2 linked regions of the Macaca mulatta genome follow. The protein of the gene in region 2 purifies or fractionates together with the protein of the main gene of each other region. This does not show direct contact. Links are inferred from orthologs where the notes say so. Each region holds a gene or a part of one and is shown on either strand. Other genes may lie near its edges.

Region 1 (6,275 bases), on a different chromosome or scaffold from region 2:
CTGCCTGGGCGACGAGTGAAACTCTGTCTCAAAAAAAAAAAAAAGAAATTAGCTGGGCGTAGTGGCACATGCCTGTGGTCCCAGCTATTGAGGAGGCTGAGGTGGGAGGATCTCTTGAGCCCAGGAGTTTGAGGTTGCAGTGAGCTGAGATCATGCCACTGCCCTTGAGCCTGGGCAACAGAGTGAGACACTTTCTCTAAAAAAAAAAAAAAGAACCAAACCAAACAAAACACAGGCAGTGGGCAGACTGGCTGTGGCTTGCCGCTCCCTGGCCTCTTCCAGTCAGGGAACGTCATGGGCTCCAGCTTCTGCCAGTTCAAGTCATCTTTTCTGGTGTATTTCAAAGCCTCCCTGTGAGTATGGGGTCAATAGGCACAGGAAGGGACCTGGTGTGTGACAGAGGGGTGGGAGGCCCATTCATTCACACACCTCAGGACTTGTAGTGACTTCCTGTGTATTGGATTCTTCCGCCTCTCATTTGCGTCCATGATGTTGAATTCTGACTCTGTTTAAGCTGTAATGTCCACATGAAGCCATTCTAAAATCTCCAGATCCCTCTCAGAAGGCCCAAGGGATGACCAGTTACCATTTTTCTTTATCTTTGAAGGAAATTTCCAGAGCTGTTTGCACAGTTCAAGTCCTTCCTAGGGGTAAAAGAGCTGTCCTTCGCGCCACCCATGAGCGACAGATCCGGGGACGGGATAAGCCGGGAAATCGACTATGCATCTTGTAAGCGCATAGGATCCAGCTACCGGGCACTCCCCAAAACCTACCAGCAGCCCAAGTGCAGCGGGAGGACGGCCATCTGCAAGGAGGTAGCGCTCCCTGGGGCTTACATGTTCGCTGACATGGTGCATCCCCCACCCCTCCCCAGCAAACACCCAATACCCCCGTTTTGAATGAAATGCTGTGTGCTCAGCCCTCCTGAATGTTGGGTTATGGGTGGTGCTGGGATGTGGCCCAGCAAAACCACCTGAGCAGAGACAACAGTGTTGTACCCTGCTGGTAGTTTTGGCAAAACACAGAGTGTCAGGGATAATGTGGAGTTCACTTATTCATCTGTTATTTGAGTTAGGTTTATTGCTGCCATGATTCTGCTCCGTCCCGGGCTCACTGACCTCAGTGTGTTTCTGTTTAGCTTGACCATTGGACACTTCTCCAGGGTTCGTGGACAGACGATTACTGCATGTCCAAGTTCAAGAGTACCTGCTGGATTCCAGGATATAGTGCAGGGGTCAGCAAACTCTGGCCCATGGGCCCTGGCCCGCTGCCTGTGTTTGTAAATAAAGTTTTATTGGCACACAGACACAACCATTCATTTACATATTGCCTGTGGCTGCTTTTCTCACCACAAAGGCAGAGTTGAGTATTCATCCGGGATGGCCTGCAAAGTCTGAGATAGTTGCTCTCTGACCCTTTGCAGAGAAAATTTACCAATATCTGAAATGAAATCAGCCCTCCATATCTGCAAGTTCCTCATCTGTGGTTTCAACTAACCATGGATTGAAAATAGGTGGGGAGAGAGAAACCAAAAAATAACAGTACAGCAATAAAACGTAATCCACATTTTAAGAATGCAGTGTAACAATGATCTACACAGCATTTACATTGCATTAGGTATAAGTATTCTAGAGATGATTTTGCATAGGTTATATGCAAATAGGATTCCATTTGACATCAGGGACTTGAGTATCTGTGGATTTGGGTCTCCAGGGGTGGTTCTGGAACCAATCTCCCAGGATACCAAGGGAGTGTTCACTTGACCAAAGTCATGTTTTCCCTTAAAAACTTGATTCACCTTCCCATTTGTATAAGGCAGTTGCCTATCATATAATCAGGATTGTATTATGTATCTTGGTACTTTGTACACTGGCTAACAGTAAATCTTAGCTCCTGGGGCATGCAGCGCCGTTCATGGCGTTTCCTCTCGATGCAGGTACTGAATGACACCTGGGTCTCCTTCCCCTCCTGGTCTGAGGACTCCACCTTCGTCAGCTCTAAGAAGACACCGTACGAGGAGCAACTTCACCGCTGTGAGGACGAGCGCTTCGAGGTGTGTGTGGTGCTGTGGCCAGGCCTCCCAGCACATGCCTGTCCCCCTTCTCCACCGGACATGCGTCCTGATCCTCCTCCACTGTGCCAGTCTCCTTTTAGGAGCAGGGATTGCAGCACATTCCAGCAGCTCCTGGAAGCTTCCTGCTGGGTCTTGCTGGCCTCTGGGCTGGCTACCAGATGGCACTTTTTTTTTCTGTTTAAAAATTTTGTTTGGACTGGGTGTGGTGGCACACACCTGTAATCCCAGCACTTTGGGAGGCCAAGGCAGGTGGATCATTTGAGCTCAGGAGTTTGAGAACAGCCTGGGCAACATGGTGAAATCTCATCTGTACCAAAAATACAAAAATTAGCCGGGCTTGGTGGCGGGTGCCTGTAATCCTAGCTACTCGGGAGGCTGAGGCAGGAGAATTGCTTGAGCCAGAGAGGCCGAGGCTGCAGTGAGCCGAGATCAAGCCACTGCACTCCACCCTGGGCAATAAAATAAAAATAAATTTAAATTACGTTAAAGAAACTTTTATTTATTTATTTATTTTGCTTGCCCTGTCTCCCAGGCTGAAAGTGCAGTGGCACAATCATGGATCATTGCTGCCTTGACCTCCCAGGGTCAAATGATCCTCCCACCTCAGCCTCCTGAGTAATTGGAACCACAGGTGCACACTACCATGCCCAGGTTGTTGTTGTTTTTTTAACTTTTTTTGTAGAGATGAGGTCTCACTATGTTCCCCAGGCTGGTCTCACACTCCTGGCCTCAAGCGATCCTCTTGAGTAGCTGGGATTACAGACACACCACCATTCCTGGCTAATTTTTGTATTTTTAGTAGAGACGGGGTTTCACCATGTTGATCAGGCTGGTCTCGAACTCCTGACCTTGTGATCTGCCTGCCTCAGCCTCCCAAAGTGCCAGGATTACAGGCGTGAGCCACCGCACCGGGCCATAAATTTTTTTAATTAGCCAGGCATGGTGGTGCACACCTATATTCCTAGCTACTTGGGAAGCCAAGGTGGGAGGATCGTTTGAGCCCAGGAGGTTGAGGCTGCAGTGAGCTGTAATTGTGCCACTGCACTTCAGTCTGGGTGACAGAGCAAGACCCTGTTTCCTACACACACACACACCACCCCCCTCCAAAAATCCTCTGCGCTCTGAGGTCCCAGGCTCCTCCCTGAGGCCTCTTGAGTTCCCCAGTGGCTGACCCCTTCCTGCCTTCCTTTCCATAGTTAGACGTTGTCCTGGAGACGAACCTGGCCACGATCCGCGTGTTGGAAAGCGTGCAGAAGAAGCTCTCTCGGATGGCGCCCGAAGACCAGGAGAAGTTCCGGCTGGACGACTCCCTCGGGGGCACGTCAGAGGTGATCCAGCGCCGTGCCATCTATCGCATCTATGGCGACAAGGCCCCGGAGATCATCGAGAGCCTCAAGAAGAACCCCGTCACCGCTGTCCCTGTTGTCCTGAAAAGGTGCCCTGCGGCATCCCGCCTTCCCTTCCCTTCCCTTCCCTTCCCTTCCGTGCCGCAGGGAGCCCCTGGAGAGCTTGTTAGTGCTGTTTGTCAACAGGGGTAATCTCCAGGGGAGGTCTCAGGCCTAGGGCTGGCTTCCTGTATTTCCCAGTCTCCCACTCCTGAGAGGAGAGCACTGTGACCTTCTAGGACTTTCCACCTTGCACATAATCACATCTAGACATCTAAACTGCTTTAAGAGTCAGATGCAACCACTACACTGTGGCTTGCATTTTATTTAACGCTGCATCTCGGACACCATCTGGTGCTAGTGAACAGGTATTTATCAAGTGGCCACTTTAAGGCAGGTGCAATGCTTGGCCCTGGGGTTACGCAGCTGAGTGAGGCAGACCCAGTCCCTCTCCTCTTGGGACTCACAGCTGAGCAAGGGACCTGAGTGGCTGAGCTAGCAGCCATGCGGAGAGTGCTGGGTGCCTGGGAGGAGGCGGAGGACCCAGGAAGCTGGCCACATTGGCTCTGTAAGGCCATCACGCCCTTCCTCTGACGTGCACAGAGCCCACTGCATAGACTAGGCTGGGAGCTGGCTGGGCTTGGATCCTGGGCCCCCAGTCAAGTCCCAGAGGAAGACAGGCCAGCCCTGGGATGCTTCAGGGAGGATGCCCTGGCTTGTCCCTGGTGCTGACCCCTCTTCTCCCCACAGGCTGAAGGCCAAGGAAGAGGAGTGGCGGGAGGCCCAGCAGGGCTTCAACAAGATCTGGCGGGAGCAGTATGAGAAGGCGTACCTCAAGTCCCTCGACCACCAGGCTGTGAACTTCAAGCAGAATGACACCAAGGCCCTGCGCTCCAAGAGCTTGCTCAACGAGATCGAGAGCGTCTACGACGAGGTACAGCCTTCCCTAGCCCTGCCGGCTGGCGGGGGTGGGATCCTGGCTCTCCCGACCGCCAGGTCTGTGCCTCTGTTTCCCTGGTGCTTAGGTGGGGTAGCGGCATTGCTGTGTCGAGGCGAGGGTTCATGTCTCTGTGATGCCCAGCCTGCGGCCTGCCCTAGGAGAACCAGCAACTCTGCCATTGTCTGTTTGTTTGTTTAGAGGCAGAGTCTCGCCCGCTCTGTCGCCCAGGCTGGAGTGCAGTGGTGCGATCTCAGCTCACTGTAACCTCCACCTCCCCGGTTCAAGCGATTCTCCTGCCTCAGCCTCCCGAGTAGCTGGGACTATAGGCACGTGACACCACACCTGGCTAATTTTTGTATTTTTAGTAGAGACGGGGTTTCACCATGTTGGCCAGGCTGGTCTTGAACTCCTGACCTTGTGATCCACCCGCCTCAGCCTCCCAAAGTGCTGGGATTACAGGCGTGAGCCACCGTGCTCGGCCAACTCTGCCGTTGTCTGGAGAAATCTCTGTCCCTCCTGTGGGACAGTGACGGACTTCAGCTTAGATGGCAGGTGGCAGCAGCCTTCATTTCTTTCTTGCCGACTGTGCCCGGCACTGGTGTTAGCAATGCAGAAGGAGTCATATATCATCTGACCTCACTCCTGAACCTGACTCTGCTGCGTCATTATTCTGATTTTATTCCTCGGGGAAACCGAGGCACAAGAGGTTGCATTTGCCTGGGCTGGTCGCAGGGGGCCAGGGCTCCGAGTCAGTGGGTTCGAGGCTTTCGGCTGCACGTCCTCACTGCAGGCTCACAAGGCCTGAGTTACAGAACCAAGGCCAGCGGGACCCTCAGGTTGCCAGGAACTGGGCCTGTTAGTGGCTGTGCGTAGGGAGTGCCTGCCTGCAGGATCCTGAAGGGGGAAGCTTGGCAGGGTGTTGGGCATAGTGACAGCCAGCTGTCGGGAAGGTCCTTGGACACTCTGAGGAGGTGGCTGGGGAGGGCACGCTGCTCCCCAGGCAGTGCCCAGATCACGGCACGGGTTGCATTGTCAGCCTGGTGCCCACCTGGGCAGGGGGTGGTGCCTCACCTGATTTGGTGTCTTGCTCCCGTCACTGCACAGTGAGCGGTCGCTCCTTTTACAATATAGAAACGGAATCCACAGGAGCCAGGCTGCTGGCCCAAGGCCTCTCCCAGAGCCTGTGGGACTGTGGGGACCCCCTTCCCTCCCACCTCCCTCCCCATGGGCCACCCTCGCCCCAGGCCTACCCACAGCCGCTCTGGCTTCCTCACTCTAGTCCTCGGTGGATCCCCAAGCCCAAGACCCTGCATAGGTTCTGTGGGTCTGTAGTGTCTGCAAAGTGCAGATGATGAAGTAGCCCTGGAAATCCACCAATGAGACCCCGAGTTCCTGGGTCCCTCCCTGGGGCTGGGGCTGATGAGGCAAGGGGCACCAAGGTTGGCCCCCTGGCCTGACGGATCTCTGCACATGCAGGTCCTTGATGAGTTCCAAAGTCAGACCCCCATTCCATCACACAGTTTACAAAGCATGGTTACGGGTCACAGACATGGGGATCGTGCTTCAGAGGGGACTGTAAAGGAATTTTCAGGGTTTATGGCATAAATGAGACCTGGGGGACTTAGGAAGCGGTCAGAGGGCGGAGGTCACACTGAAGAGCCCGGAACAGGGCTGAGCGTGCAGACTCCTAGGAACCGGCTCAGCGTGCTTGGCCCCACCAGCCTCTACGCTGCCCTGCAGGGGAGGAGGAAGGGAAACCTCAGGCTGCTGGGAGACCTGGTCCTTCCCCTGGGAGCCTGCAGAGATGGCGTCCATGCTCACTTTCCCCAAGAGCCCCAGTGCGTCGGCCTCCCTGCCTCCCTCCCTGAGGGGTTGG
Region 2 (6,375 bases):
AAACCTTTGCTATCAATAATTTTCCTTCTGTACTCTAAAAGTTTTCATATCACAATGAAAAACCTTCTGAAAATCCGCAGACAGGAAAAACAGCAATACATAAATAGACTTCCATTTAGATAATTTAATATACATTAGTAATGCTTAAAGGCAGATCTTAATAAATCAGATTAGCACTCCTGGCAAAGTTCCATTAAAACCAAAACCAAAACAAAACAAAACTAACTTTGAAAACTAGGGTTTTAAAACATAATTTAAAAATCCATTTTCCAAGAATGAAGGGAGACAGAAATCTTCGGAGATTAACAAAACTTTTAGTAGAGTAAGAAACACTAGAGAAAGTAGAATTTAAGAATTCTAAGCATTGAAGCTAAACATTGAACATTTCCACTAGAACAACAGGGCTAGAGACAGTTTCTCATGATCTCAGTTAAACGGAGAAACCATAACTACTTTGCACAATTTTTTAAAAAATCACACTCTTCCTCCAAACATCAAGTAACTATTCAATACCAATTAACACAAACTCCAGGCTGTGGTCCATGAGCTTCTCAAAGTTCTCTACCTACAGCCCGAACACAAAGAATGAATCAGGAGGCAGAAACGGTGACAAAACACTTACCTCAAGTTCATTCAGGCGCTGGACTCTTGGAGTGAAACGAAAGCTTTTTACTTCACAGGCGAATGGAGGCTGCCAGTCCTAAATAGAAAGTTTTTTTAAAAAAAACACAGTGGTATTTAAGCAAGGAATGCGTTATTTATTCCCTTAAAGGGGGGTTTTGCCATAATCACGGTGCTAATAGACTAACTTATAAGACTTCTTTATTATAGAGACAGAATGAGCAATTCTTTTAGATAAAATAATTTTAATACAGGTTGAGTATCCCTCATCTGAAATGCTTGGGACCAGAAGTGTTTTGGATTTCAGATTTTTCCATATTTTGGAATATCTGCATATACATAAGGAGGTATCTTGGAGAGAGAAACCAAGTCTAAATACAAAATTATTTTGTCTCATATAGTTATACACATAGCCTAAAGGTAATTTTATGCAATATTTTTAATAATTTGGTGCATAACGCTTGTGTACACTGGACCATGAGAAAAGAAAGGTGTCACTAACTCAGCCATCCGGTGTGGACAATCTGTGGTTGTCTGGCATCACCATCATTTCTGACTGTGAATTCTTACATGCTACCAATAAACAATCATTTCCTTACACTTATTTCCACTTAAGTAGTTAACAGAAAAAATATGACATACCATTAATACAATGAAAAAAATAATCTATTCAAGCTGGGTGCAGTAGCTCATACCTGTAATCCCAGCACATTGGGAGACTGAGGCAGGAGGATCGCTTGAGCCCAGGAGCATGAGACCAGCCCAGGCAACAAAGCGAGACCCTGTCTCTATAAAATAAAAAGAATAATAATGTTTCAGGATAACTTGGTTTCAGATTTGGGAGGATTTCGGATTTGGAATTTTTAAAGTAGGGATGGATGCTCAACCTATATTACCCAGAGAAGCAATCCTCTTCAAACCAGTCCCACTGTTTATCTCCCACAATTATGCTTTCCCAAGTTACTCAAGTGGAATTCAATGAGGTCATGTACCACAAAACGGTGTCTAGTAAACATTCAGGTTTACCAAGATCAAAAAAAAACACCAAAAAATTTAAAAAACCAAAAAGGGTAAAATTAAAGATTAAAAATAAACTTTTTAAACTTTTTCTTTTGTACTGTATGTGTAACGCGACAGAGCACTTTATGTTACACAAAAGTTTTGTTCAAAGCCCAGCTTCTGGGAACCCAAATATTCAACAACAAAAAAAGTAAGCACACACACAGAACAAGGACAGTTTCCAGACTGTGATATAACTAAAATCAGAGAGCATATTTCAAGTGGGGTCTAAATAACACAGTTTGATTTGGCCTAAATAACAGAATAACAGTAAACCTATTTTAAAACGTGAGTAGTCAAAAAAAAAAAAACAACCCAGGAGGTGGAGGCAGAAGTGAGCCAAGATCGTGCCACTGCACTCCAGCCTGGAAACTAAAGAAATTTGCCAATACTAAAATTAAATTCTGATTGTAAACAAGATTTATTTTCAATAATGTGACATAAAAAGAGAAAGCATTATTTCAACATTTTTTAAGTTAAAAAAAACTTTTTTTTAATCGAAGTAACCGTGAATAGAATTTCTAATTAATAAATTCAAGAGTAGATGAAAATACGACTTAGGAAAACCTTCAATGCTTAAGATTTGTTAATATTAGCTAATTATGATAGAAAAAAGGGTTAAATGGAAGTTTTTGGAGGATGGCAATGCATATCATCACAGCAATTATTTGTTAATCCTCTGCTTGCAACGAATAGTCTATAACCTTAAACTCATTCTACATAGAGCATTATGTCTGTTTCAGAATCAGAAAAACCGATCTAGGTTCAAAATATACTTTGCCACTTGCCCAAGATAACCCATCTGGTGTTTTAACTTATCCAGATTAATCTTATCTGTAAAAGGTGGACTTCATTTACCTATCAGGGCTTCAAAGATTAAAGCAAACAATCTATAGGTGTTAAATTAGCTCCTCCTCGCTGTCATTTAAGTTTTTAATTCGCTGCGGTGCCTATCACTGTGGTAGTCAGTGGTGACGGCAGATGCTTTTTAAAATGCAACACTGGTTAATAGTGCTTAATATTTTATCATTACCAATACTAGACAAAACATAAAGCAAAATGCCTTTAAGAAGCAATGACTAAAGCAATGGTTCGAAAACCTCAACTTACATGAAGAATCATCTGAGACTAGTTGCTAGAAAAGCAGATTCCAGAACTTCCACAAGAAGCCTAGAGATCTGCATTTAAATAAGCATCCAGTTGACCCAGGTGCAAGTGGTCCCGCAACAGCATTTAAAAAGCACTGATCTAATGAGTAAAGAAAAACACCTTTTGACCTTGAGCATCTCACTCAATCTCTTGGGGCATTAATCCCCTCCACACAAGGGATAGTACCTACTTTCCTTACCTCAATGTTGAGATTATAATTAACCTTATAGGCAAACCTAGTTATCTGCAATAACTGTGATTCTAAAATCGTTGATCTTGAGTTCCCTATGTCAAGAGATTTCAACATTTCCTCCCGCCTCCATTATAGATGAATTCTTCCTAAACCTCTCAATTTTAGAATTATTGCTGCTCCTCTTTCCCCGGTAAGACTTTCTCACTGCAGCAATGATTAGTCTGAAGTTCTATGTCTATAATACCATCTGGTGGAACTAGAGCTCAGATTACCTTTTCAGAAACCCTAGCCCTGAGAGGAGGCCTGCAAATATTTGATCCAATCAGGTCTTGAATAGAGATAGCCGACTATCAAACCATAATGAGGATACGTGAGGGAAGAATGTACTTTAATTAAACCTCATATTGGCTAACGAAGGGCTTTAGGCCCACAGCGGAGAGAAAAGTATCAGTTCCCAAGTTCGAGGCGGAAGACCCCAGAGACACCACTTTCTCGCATTCAGACGTGTCTACATAAGACCACAAAAGAAACCGAAGCAGAAACATCCAGAAACAGGCTCCGGTTGTCTCAACATAAAGGAGAGTACATACGAAAGGAGAGAAGGATCGGAAAAGTAAGGCTAAACCCAGTGCACGGACTCCCCCATTCTTCCTTCTCCCCCTCTCTCTCCACAGACTGAGGTACCTTGGGCGGCCGAATTTTGCAGATGCCGGTTTTCTCCGCCAAAGGCCGGATGCGGCCGATAAAGCTGAGCGGATCTGTGAACTCCTCCCAGCTCGGCTCAAAGACGGGGCACTCCGGGGGCGGCACGAACTCGGCCGCGTAACCCCCCGGCCCCACGCCCGCCATTGCAGCGGCCGGGGGGGGGGTCCCCGTGGGGAACCGGTGGAGAAAAGCTGGCTGAAGCCCACTGAGCCCGTTCACGTCCCCTGACTGGGGCCGAAGCGCATCTTCGCGGAAAAGAACCGCTCAACACAGACACCCCAGAACCGCTTCCTCCTCCCGTTTGTTATTGTTTCTTGCAAGGCTTTTCCTCTGAGGGTCAGGACTTTTCCGGAAGTTACTGTGCTGTCAAATCCCTCCGCCCCCGCAGGAAACGGAATCCTTCCGCAGCGGCGCGACGCCCGGGTATCTGGCCCTTCCTCCTTCTTCTCTTGCCTGGCAGCCCGGTGTGGCTGTTTCTCTCCTTGCCTGCCAAAGTTCTGCCCAGTCCAACGACTCCACGCGGCTCGCCCTAGGTAGGGGGTCGGGGAGAGGCGCAATCTCTCCTTCACTAGAGGTGGGGATAGAGCCAGGCCGACGGGGCGAGGCGAGGCGCGACGCGTTCTTCCGGCGCGGAGGAATGTGTAATGCCCCAGAGGGCAGAGGTTGTGCTTCCGGTGAGGAGGGTCCCTTTCCCTTTTGTGTGTCGGTGTAGTCGAAATCACGCAGGGCTTAGCGTTTGCCCCCCAGCCTCGCCGCCCGTGCTTCGTGATTTGTTTTAACCTACCCTGCTGCGTTTCTAGCAAGTAGCCGTTCCAGCATTTCTCTTTTTTTTTAGCCCTTTGAATGCAGGTATTTTACAGTAATCTCACTCTGCCACTTTATACCCGCCTCTTCTCCAGGAAAACAAGTGCAGGTCTAACCCATCCCCTAAATCCTGCCAGCTGGCTTTAGCCACCATCCAGGAATTGCTTTTCCTTTTACACAGAACACAGCAGCTCTTCTGAATTACCAGCCAGTACTGTCTAGCTACCTACAGGACATCTCACTCTGATAACTCAAAGTACTTTAATTGGTCACTATTTCTTCAGTGTTCCTGGTTTCATTAATACCTTCATCTATTCAGTTGCCTGAGGCAAAAAAAAACAATCAAGAAATAGTCCTCATGCTTTCTGCTCTCACTTCCCATGTATAATCGTGTGTCTCTCCATCCTTGTTACCAGTATCCTAATTTAAATACTCTTACTGACAACAGCTCATTTCTTTTCTCCTCTGAAATCCCTCTCCATTCTCAAGTTGGATTGCTTTGTCTAAAATCCAGAATTCATCTTGTCACTTTTCATCTCCAAACTGAACAACTCCAAACATCTTTTTTAATTGCTGATTTGCTGCTTTACTCTCCAGCTTCATCTCTACTGCTTCTCCATATGATCTACAGAAGTCTTTGTTGTGACTTTAGTACACCATGATTTTTCTCACCTCTGAGCCATCACACATATTTCCTCTGTCCAGAACATTTTTGTACTCTGCTGACCCAAAATCATTTGTATCATTATATCCCCTTCCTAAATTTCTACTCATCCTTCATTTAAATAAATATGAAGGATTAGGCTGAGCGAATCTGTGAACTGTGAACTCCTCCTTCATATTTATTTAAATAATATTTATTTAAATAATAATAAATAATATTTATTTAAATAAATATGAAGGATTAAATATCACTTCTAGATAGCCTTTCCTAATCCCAAAAATTGGTGTGGTCAGCAGCAACTTGTACTTCCTTGTCAAACTTTTTGAAATTGCATATTTAATTGCCTTTTTCCCTCAAACCGTAAGTTACACAAAGGCAGGGACAGTGTCTGTCTTGTTTTCCCAGCTCCTAGAATAGTGGTTGGTGTATAGGAGGTGTGCAATAAATATCTGCTAAATAAATGATTCACAAACCAATTTGCCTTGTGTGCCGTTGCCTCGTCCTACATTTACGTATGCCACGTTTTGTTTGAGACTGTACCAGCATGTAACATACACAATATCCCTCCTCTTGATTATAGCATCCACAAAAGTTAATGTCCACTTACTCATAACCCCCAGCCTAAACCCACAGACACTTTCGCAGATAGTTTGGTTTCAGTTACCTTTTGTTGTGTAACAAATCACCTCAAAACTTAGTGGCGGAAAATAAAAACGACTAATGGCAATTCGGTGGGTTAGCAATCTGGTGTTGTCATGGCCTCACCTGGGATCACTCCTGCAATTATATCTGACAGCTTGACTGGTATGATGGTTAACCTGATGTTCAATTTGGCTGGGCCATGGTGCCCAGATACGTGGTCAAACATTCTACTGTTTCTGTTAGGGTATGTTGCAATGAGATTAACAAATCAGTGGACTTTGAATAACGCAGATTGCCCTCCGTAATGTGAGTAGGCCGTATCCAATCAACTGAAGGCCTGAAAAGAACAAAAGACTGACCTTCCGTGAAGAAGAAGGGATTTTGACAGTAGATGGCTCTCAGCCTTGAACTGTAGCATCACCTTTTCCCTGGTCTCCGGCCCGCCAACCCACCCCTCAGATTTTGGACTTGAAAGCTCTATAATCAAGTGAGCCAAGTCCTTAAAATAAATATCTTTATAAACATACACATGCACACA

Evidence for each region.
Region 1: the proteins of KDM5A (region 2) and SIN3B purify together in Homo sapiens (affinity purification with mass spectrometry; 4 studies listed by BioGRID and IntAct, with this or other methods). This does not show direct contact. The link is inferred for Macaca mulatta from reciprocal best matches to the Homo sapiens genes KDM5A and SIN3B.

The regions. Positions count from the first base shown.
Region 1 is NC_133424.1:17,353,983-17,360,257, forward strand, and holds part of SIN3B (paired amphipathic helix protein Sin3b), read left to right. Parts: intron 1-607; coding exon 608-815; intron 816-1,138; coding exon 1,139-1,279; intron 1,280-1,936; coding exon 1,937-2,053; intron 2,054-3,270; coding exon 3,271-3,509; intron 3,510-4,209; coding exon 4,210-4,393; intron 4,394-6,275.
Region 2 is NC_133416.1:1,162,529-1,168,903, forward strand, and holds the start of KDM5A (lysine-specific demethylase 5A), read right to left. Parts: upstream 4,096-6,375; 5' UTR 3,872-4,095; coding exon 3,707-3,871; intron 701-3,706; coding exon 623-700; intron 1-622. UniProt on the Homo sapiens protein: Histone demethylase that specifically demethylates 'Lys-4' of histone H3, thereby playing a central role in histone code. Does not demethylate histone H3 'Lys-9', H3 'Lys-27', H3 'Lys-36', H3 'Lys-79' or H4 'Lys-20'.